2 linked regions of the Tribolium castaneum genome follow. The protein of the gene in region 1 binds, or shares a complex with, the protein of each later gene. Links are inferred from orthologs where the notes say so. Each region holds a gene or a part of one and is shown on either strand. Other genes may lie near its edges.

Region 1 (4,265 bases):
GCCCCTAGAATTAATTAAACTTTACCCAACATTACAATTTCGCTTTTTTCACCACCAAAAACTTGGACACGTGCGGAGCCACAATTTCGGGGCTATTATTATGCACATCGTGGTGCCCATCCACATAAGTTATCCGTATGTTTCTATACTTTTTAAAGAAGTTTGTGACCCCTTTCATGTACATTTGCTGCAACTCTGAGTCGCGCCCCAAAACCATCAAAACGGGGCACGTGACCGGAAACTTTTTCAACGTTTCGAGAATGTACCGAAAATCGTGGATCGGGTTTATAAACTGTTTCATCCTCTGGTCGACCGTAAAGGCGTATTTCCCGTCGTCGGTCCTCTCAATCGCCCTTTGGAGCAGCGCCTCGGCCGCCTCACGACTGATGTAGCCGTTGGCCCTTTGGTCCTGCAGTTTCTGTAAGGCTTCGGCGTAAGTGTACGTTGGACGGGTCCCAGTTTTAATTTTCTGGTCCAATTCGATGCAAAAGTCCATCTTGTCCCTGAGGTTTTGCCGGAATTGGCCCGCATGGACGGGGAACAAGTGGATAGTGTCGAGCATTATCAGCTTTTCCACATATTCGGGGTACAGTTGGGCGAATAAAAAGGCGATCTGGCCCCCGTAGCTGTGCCCCAAAATCGTGTACTTTTCTTTTTTGAAATACTGGACTATTATTTTGTAAACTAGGACGTTATTAAGGGTGTAGGCTGGGAAAAACGGGGGGAAATGGCTCGATTTTCCGTGACCGGGCAAGTCGAAGCAAATGTAGCAAAATGATTTGGGGAGGAGCGGAATTAGGCGGTCAAATGAGCCCGCGTTGTCCATGATTCCGTGGAAAACGAGCACGAGAGGGTCGTTTTTGTTGCCCCATATTTTGGCTACGGTGACATAACCTCAGTTGTGATTATATTAGTGGTGTGGGGTTATTTACCTGCCAGGTGGCCCCAAGGTACCGTTATTGTGATTTCTTCAGTGTTCATTATGGTTATCACTTATCAATTACTTGTGTGGATGTGGCACCCGGTTATTCGTAACACGATTTTTTAATATTGTTCTAATAACTAATTTTGCTTATTTATTATTGTTTTATCACAGGTACAAGTTACAAGGTTTGCTCTTGCGTCACGTCTCCAGATCATTACAATAAAACAGCAATAAAGCGTCTCATTTTTGATAACAGATTTTGGGCAAAAAAAATGTTAAGTCATTGTGGGCTCATTACGTGTGATAATGAATCATAAGTTGTTATTATGTTATGCTGATAAGAGTGATAATGTTTTGGAGTTTTGAATTGGGCGCCCGGCTTGGGGTTTTTGTCGGCGGAGGTGCGTGGTTGGCAGCAGGTGTTCTCAAAAAATTCACAAATGATGCGTTCGGTGGACAGGCTGAGTGTAAATTTTACCACATTTTATAAATGAAAATTATCACAGTTCGGCTGTCGCATTAGTTAGGAATAAATTTGGCCATCGGAAATGAACGGTACAATTTTGATTATCTAGTATAGGTCCCGTCCAGTCCCAATAAAACGGCGAAGAATTGCATGCCATTCTTCTGGTTAATTACATTGCATTCTTTGTTTGTAATTACAATTGGCTTTGTAATTGAATAATCACTCGGTGTGAGCTGGTTATTTATCGATTGGGATTTAATCTTGAATAATAGATTTCGAGCGATTGATTTTGCCCCGTTTTAAAATTGTAGGTTATATAATTAGACAATTACATTGATTTTAGTGTACACAATGCCCGGAGTGGCCGACATGGGCATGGTCTGGATGGGTGCTGGGCAGCCCAACCCCGACATGTCCATGGAACTCATGTCCGGGGACAACTCGGACATGCTGCTGGAGCACGAGAACCCATATTTCACCCCATCCATACACAGCATGTCCAACCAGTCCATGGACGATATCCACACTATCCACAGCTCGCAAATGGTAAAGCCAGCTCTTTGTGCTTTGTTTTGGTGCTTAGTGGGTTATTTTAGGACGCTATGGAAAACCTAGATATGATGCAATATATCGACATGAAGCACGAAAGTAACGACTCAAGTTATGCCGAAGATGATAGTCAGAACCCTGTATATATGATAAACTCTGCCACGCAAACATTGCCCTGCTCTACGCGGAAAATCAAACCAATCAAACACCCTGGGTTGGTTTTGAAAACACCAATAGCCTACCAAAGCAATACGGACCCCTCAGTCATACCAATTCAAAAAGATGGAATTGGTGAGTTGCCCACAACCCCCTTGACGGCACGGACTTCACGCTGGGGTGTTAAATTTTATTTGTAAAAAACGGACAAAATTAAATTTTTCTTCTTATGACCATGTTGTCAGGTCTGGTAATTTTTTACCAAATCTCATAAAAACTTTTCGTTTTTTCTTTATTACTACACAAAAGAAAGTAAATCATCTTTACAAAGATATTGAAACATGCTTAAGCCGCTGGTTAAATCAAAAGTATTAAAAAATAATAATTGACAAAATGTTGAATTTTTCCAGCTGTTTGCGAGAAGTGCGGCGCCATCGGCGTCAAGCACGCCTTTTACACCCGAGAGCGCCGCTTCTGCAGCATGGCTTGCGCCCGCGGCTACAGCGGCCTGATCCCCGAGCCCTTGCCCCTGTCCCAGCAGCAAACCCCCGAACACCACCATTTCGCCAAACACCGCTTCACCATGAAAACCGAAGACGACTTTGCCAACACAGTCGTCGACCAGGAATTCCCCCAGCTGCCCCCACCGCCAGTGCTGCCCCCCATCGACGAAACAGTCCCGCTAATCCGTCGCAAGCCCTCCGAACTGGCGAACTCGCACGACTGGGATTCGCAATTAAACGACCAGTATTTCGTGGCAGCCCCTGTCACGTGTTTCAAACACGCGCCCATGTCCGACATTTGGGAGAATATCATGGTCGGGATGAAAGTCGAAGTGGAAAATACCGACTGTGATAACGTCTCAGAGGCGTTTCCCGACTCGTTTTGGGTGGCTACTGTTTTAAAAATCGTGGGGTATAAGGCGTTGCTGCGGTACGAGGGGTTCGGGTCGAATGATTCCAAAGATTTTTGGGTCTCGTTGTGTTCGAATCAGGTGCATCCGGTCGGGTGGTGCGCCACGAGGGGGAAGCCCCTGATTCCGCCGAAAACGATCGAGGACAAGTATAACGATTGGAAGGATTTTTTGAGCAAGAGGTTGACGGGGGCACGCACGTTACCGTCGAATTTTAGCAATAAAGCGAGTGATAGTCTTAAGTCTAGATTTCAATGCGGCCTTAATTTAGAAGTTGTCGACAAAAATAGAATTTCGCAAGTTAAGGTTGCCATTATTCATAAAATCGTGGGGAAGAGGCTGAATGTGAAGTATTTTAATATGCCGTCGGATGATGCGGGGTTTTGGTGTCACGAGGACTCGCCGCTTCTTCATCCCGTTGGCTGGGCAAAGAAGGTGGGTGATGTGATGGAAAAATAGTATATTATAGAGTGGGATTAAGGCACTTTGGTCCCGAGATATATACGCTATTTTTTGCACTAAGATACTTTAGTTTCTGTCTACAGGCACTGTAGTCATTTATTCTCTATGGAAAACACGCATTGATCACTTATTTAAAACGATACAGAAAATAATAACAATTTGTCTTGAAAATACTTGAAAATTTTAATCAAGAAGTGCAAATAATTTAATTATTATAGGCGTCCGTTTGTAACAACAGCTTATAACAATCTGAATAAACTCAAACGGTTCATTAGAATATTCATTGTGTAAGAATATTGATAAATCGTCATTAACAAAAAATGTAATTTGCAAACATGGTCAAATAATTCAGTTATTCTGACTAATTTTTTTCGGATTAAATTGACAAAATCTTTATTTGTCAAATTTATGGAAGGAAAATTTTTAAATAAATAGTATCCAACTCCAAAATATACATACTCGCTTTTAGTCTTTTTAGTTTTAAATAAAGGAAACCACAGAAAGTGGTTAACAAACTAGTGGTCTTACGTGAGCTGCAAAAAAATTGTTCAGAGATAAATCGATAAAAACTTTATTCGTCTTCTTTACTGAGGAAAAATTCTTAAATTAAATAAATTTTGTCTTTTGCTAAACGCCAATTATTTGAAATAAGTGCTTAGCTATTTAGAAACTGAAATTTTAAATGTGACACACCCAAGATCGCAAAAACGATTATTAATTCTAAACTTTCGTACCTTTTGGCCCTTTGCTGTCACAATCCAGTCACTTTTATTTAACAACTCGAATTTTTATTT
Region 2 (4,353 bases), on another chromosome or scaffold:
TCTCCAGCCGTCGAACGTAACATGAATCTGTTCGTTTTTTACTGCACCGACTGTAGCACAACATATCAATTGGGGGTTTTTCTTATCAACAGCTTCGAGTTTTTGCCCAACTTGGAATAGGTTGCATTTGGGACTTGGGGGCTCTTTTTGGAATATGTTGGCGGGGGCCATTAGGGCACCGTTGAGCGTTTTCGTGAGGAACATCGGCCACGAACTCGCGTTCATGCGAAAACCTGAAATTTTTTTGTCCTCATACAGTTTTTGCAAGAGACAAGAGACTTGAAATTGAGAAACTTATTAATTATTACATATTTGTATAATTTATCACATTGTTTTCACTGAGAAAGCAAAAATTGAAATCCTCATGTCAAAGTGTTTAAATTTGTTTGTTTGTTTTTTTCTGAAGTGAAAAAAGGTAAACTTTCTTGTATTTTAACAGTGTTGCGTTCCTTATAGTATCACTTATTCATTAGATAACAGCTACAAGGCTTAGAACAGTCATTAGTATTCTCTATTATTTACTTCTCTCTAATTAAAGTTTGTTCGACAAGTGATTAAAAGCACTCCCTTTACTTGATTTATTATTCATTTGTTTTACACTTCAATCAATATCCCACCGAACAAAACAACAGTTTTTATCGCTTTAAATACTTCCACGAAACGTACGATATATTTATTCAAATTTGAGACACTTTACTAGGAATTAATTATTAAAACAATGTTCACAAATCAATAACTAGTTTAATTTAAAATACGATGTACAAATAAAACGTCCCCATTAATGTCGCCAGAAGCGCACTTGTTCCATTACCGTCTGTTTTCAGAGCAATAAATTTATAAAAATTGTAATTAAATAACGGTTAGCACAAGGCAAATAAAAAATACAGGCAGATAGAGAATCAAATTCTTAATAATATGAGATAAAAATAGTGAAAAAATTATATCTTAAACTATATTTTAAAAAATTTCAAAGTTTTACCGATTTGCACACTGCCCCATATTTTTCAAAACGCTGCGAATACGGTTACAGATACAAGAAAAATGTTCAGAGGAAAGTTGTAGAGAATTAAATTTCCTTTAAAAAAGTCCCCAAGACCATATGTCTACCTCCAACCATTTAGGCCCCAAAGTCATTCAAAGGCGCTCAAGTGTCGGATTTCCGTCATTTTGCCGATGGTCAAGTATTGGAAAATTTATTTATAACTAAACCGTTGGAGATAGACATATCGTGTCGCGGACTTTTTTGTAGAAAATTTAATTCTCTACAACCTCGTGTCTTTCAATTTTTTGTATCTTCAACCGTATTCGCTGCGTTTGCAAAAAGAACGCAATAATTCTAAGTGATAATTTTTGGGCACCGTCGCCTATTTATCAAAACGCTGCGAAAACTTTTAAAGATACAAAAAAGTGAAAGGTACGACGTTGTAGAGAATTAAATTTGCTACAAAAAAGTCCGCGACACCATATTTCTATCTTCAACGGTTTGGGTATAAATCCACTTCCCAATACTCAACCACCGAAAAATTTAAGGAAATCTGTCGCTTGAACGTTTTTAGGGCCTAAACTATTGAAGATAAAGATACGGTTTCGCTGACTTTTTTAAAGGAAATTTAATTCTCTACAACTTTCTTCTGAACATTTTTCTTGTATCTTTAACCGTATTCGCAGCGTTTTGAAAAATACGAGTCGAAGTGCAAATTTTTAATTTTAAATAATTTTTTTCTCATGTTTCTCATGAAAATTTTAGTCGTCAGTTTTTCTCAGTCTGTTAAGAATGCAAAGTTCAATATTTCTGTATTTTTTTTCCAAGTAATTAGTCAACTGGTTGAATTTAAATTAATTTAAAACGATTTGACACAACGCTGAAAGCGCCCTCATTTTTACACTGCGGTACTACATCTTTGGGTGCGATTTTGTATCTCGTTTCGTCTCCTAACTTATAGTTCTAAGTAGAATTATTACCACATAATTTTATTAATAAGCAAATAAACTGCAAATTTATAAATAACAAAAAATAAATTGTCTCTAAAACATTATTTCAGACTCAAAACATTGTATTTTGGTTTTGTTAATTTTTTCCTTACCCAATGGGGGCTGTAGCATCCCCCCTGACTTCTCACAATGCCCCACGGGATTAATCTCCTTCGAGTCAACCAGTCTCCAAAAATCATTCTTATTATCACTCCCATCCAGCCTCAACCTGAGCCTGGATCCCAGGACCGTGATCACCGTGGCAATGCACGTGGAGGTGACATTCCTGGGATCCAACGCCTCCAACTTCATCGACACTTTGAACTCGTTATGTGGCGGCGTCACCGCCTGCTTGAAGCAGCTCGCGGGCGCCGCCACCGAGTTCGTCTCTTTGAGATACTCGTCCCAGTCGAACGGCTGATACGTCTCGTACTGGAAGGGGCCCGGCGAGGCCTCGAGCGGCGTCGTGGGGGCGACCGCAGCCACCCGATTCTGCAACTCGGCCTTCTTCTGGTACTTGTTCATGCAGTACGTCGAGCAGAAGTCCTTCGAGGGGCTGTTGGCGCCCCGGACCACGTTGTCGCACTGGAGGCAGGCCCCCTTGATGTAGGCCTTGCGGAACTCGGCGAGACATGTCTCCGAGCAGAACTCCTTCTTGCCGTTGGTGGTCGGCAGCACGTACTTGAGGGGCAGCTTGCTCTCGTTGCACCACGTGCACGAGATGATCTTCTTGGGGGGCCGGCCGGGGCCCCGCACCTTGCCCGGCGTCGGGTTGGGGTTACTCGACATCGCACGATTTCAAAAACATCAGTTTACCTCCAAAATCAGGCGGGCGCTGGGGGCATGGCGGGGGAGAACTGTCGCACGGGCTACGGCACCGATTACATCGGAAAGACCACTGGGGGCGCCTGCAGTGGGGTAGTGACGCAAAACCGGGATTAAACGGAAAAATACATCACAATGTCAACGACGTCGAAATGTCAACAACGCGTTATGTTTGTGTATATTACACCAACATGGAAACCCAAAATCACTAGACTGTGTTCTAGGGGATTTTCGCTACAACGCACAATTTTTCCCTTTTTTTTTTATAAAAAAAGTTTATTGAAATAGTCATTAAATAAAAAATACACGTAAAACTAGCCTTAGAACTAGACAATTTAACCATTTATACACAATAATCATCAACAAGATTGCACCGACGCGTTATCCAAGCTTTTGCTTTTTGACTTTATTATTTACATTGTTATTGTCAGTTGTTCTCTTTGCTGCTCGTTTGAGTTTCTTTTCGTCGGTGGTTTTTTTCAAGCCCTTCATTTTGCGGGTTTGGATTTTGTTGATTTCTTGTTTACCGACGTGGATGCGTCCGTGGGTTGTGCCCAAGCCGTCAACACTAATGTTCTTCTTTTTGCTCACTTTGAGTTCTTTAGGTTTGCGCAAGGCTTCTTTCATTAGGTCTTCGCTGGGGAGTTTGCTTCGGCGAAGGCTGAGGTCTATTCTGGGACCTGCAAAAAATATTTGATAATTTCTAAAATTCAAAAAAAAAGAAAACACTCAAAAAATTTATAAAGAAAAAAAATCGTCAAGTTTATTTCTTTATATTTCTTTCAATATGTTCACTTGGAGATTTTGCCAGAAAAAAATACGATGTTTAATGTTTATTAGGGAGATTATTTATTGTACAATTACAAATAAAAAAATTGTAAAATTGTCATTTTTTTGGTGCAAAACTGTATGTATTAAATTTAACTGTATTATTAAATCAAAATAAAAACTTTAACCACAGCTTTGACGAGAATTGAGGTTTTTTGGCTCAACAAAATTAGAAAATTCAATATATTTTTTTAATATGTGTTTAAAATAATAAGATATACAAAAAAAATTGACCGATACTGAGATGTGACTGATTGTGAATTTTTTTATCTGAAAACGTTCAAAGCTTAAATAAAATATTTCTAGCAATCCTAAAAAATCTCGTAAAAAACGACGTACAAATAAAACGTCCCCGTCCTCGATAGTTCGATTAATGCCGCCAGAGGCGCAGTTGTTCTATTACCGTCTGTTTTCAGAGCAATAAATTTATAAAAATTGTAATTAAATAACGGTTAGCACAAGGCAAATAAAAAATACAGGCAGATAGAGAATCAAATTCTTAATAATATGAGATAAAAATAGTGAAAAAATTATATCTTAAACTATATTTTAAAAAATTTCAAAGTTTTACCGATTTGCACTCTGCCCCATATTTTTCAAAACGCTGCGAATACGGTTACAGATACAAGAAAAATGTTCAGAGGAAAGTTGTAGAGAATTAAATTTCCTTTAAAAAAGTCCCCAAGACCATATCTCTATCTCCAACCATTTAGGCCCCAAAGTCATTCA

What was found.
Region 2: the proteins of Sfmbt (region 1) and Scm are in contact, whole or in part, in a crystal structure (PDB 5J8Y), measured with the Drosophila melanogaster proteins. The link is inferred for Tribolium castaneum from reciprocal best matches to the Drosophila melanogaster genes Sfmbt and Scm. Residues at the interface, in NP_001260432.1 of Drosophila melanogaster: Lys1176, Asp1177, Met1180, Met1185, Lys1186, Val1187, Gly1188, Pro1189, Leu1191, Lys1192, Asp1195; in NP_001247006.1 of Drosophila melanogaster: Lys831, His832, Glu833, Ile834, Asp835, Lys837, Ala838, Leu841, Leu842, Met846, Lys849, Tyr850, Met851.

Annotation. Positions count from the first base shown.
Region 1 is NC_087402.1:1,710,700-1,714,964, reverse strand, and holds the start of Sfmbt (polycomb protein Sfmbt), read left to right. Parts: upstream 1-1,328; 5' UTR 1,329-1,473; coding exon 1,474-1,480; intron 1,481-1,734; coding exon 1,735-1,937; intron 1,938-1,987; coding exon 1,988-2,231; intron 2,232-2,506; coding exon 2,507-3,444; intron 3,445-4,265. Other genes in the region: serine hydrolase-like protein, read right to left, coding at 32-879, 933-981. UniProt on the Drosophila melanogaster protein: Polycomb group (PcG) protein that binds to the Polycomb response elements (PREs) found in the regulatory regions of many genes.
Region 2 is NC_087400.1:404,632-408,984, forward strand, and holds the start of Scm (polycomb protein Scm), read right to left. Parts: upstream 2,981-4,353; 5' UTR 2,761-2,980; coding exon 2,085-2,760; intron 234-2,084; coding exon 1-233. Other genes in the region: Non3 (ribosome production factor 2 homolog), read right to left, coding at 3,178-3,476. UniProt on the Drosophila melanogaster protein: Polycomb group (PcG) protein. PcG proteins act by forming multiprotein complexes, which are required to maintain the transcriptionally repressive state of homeotic genes throughout development.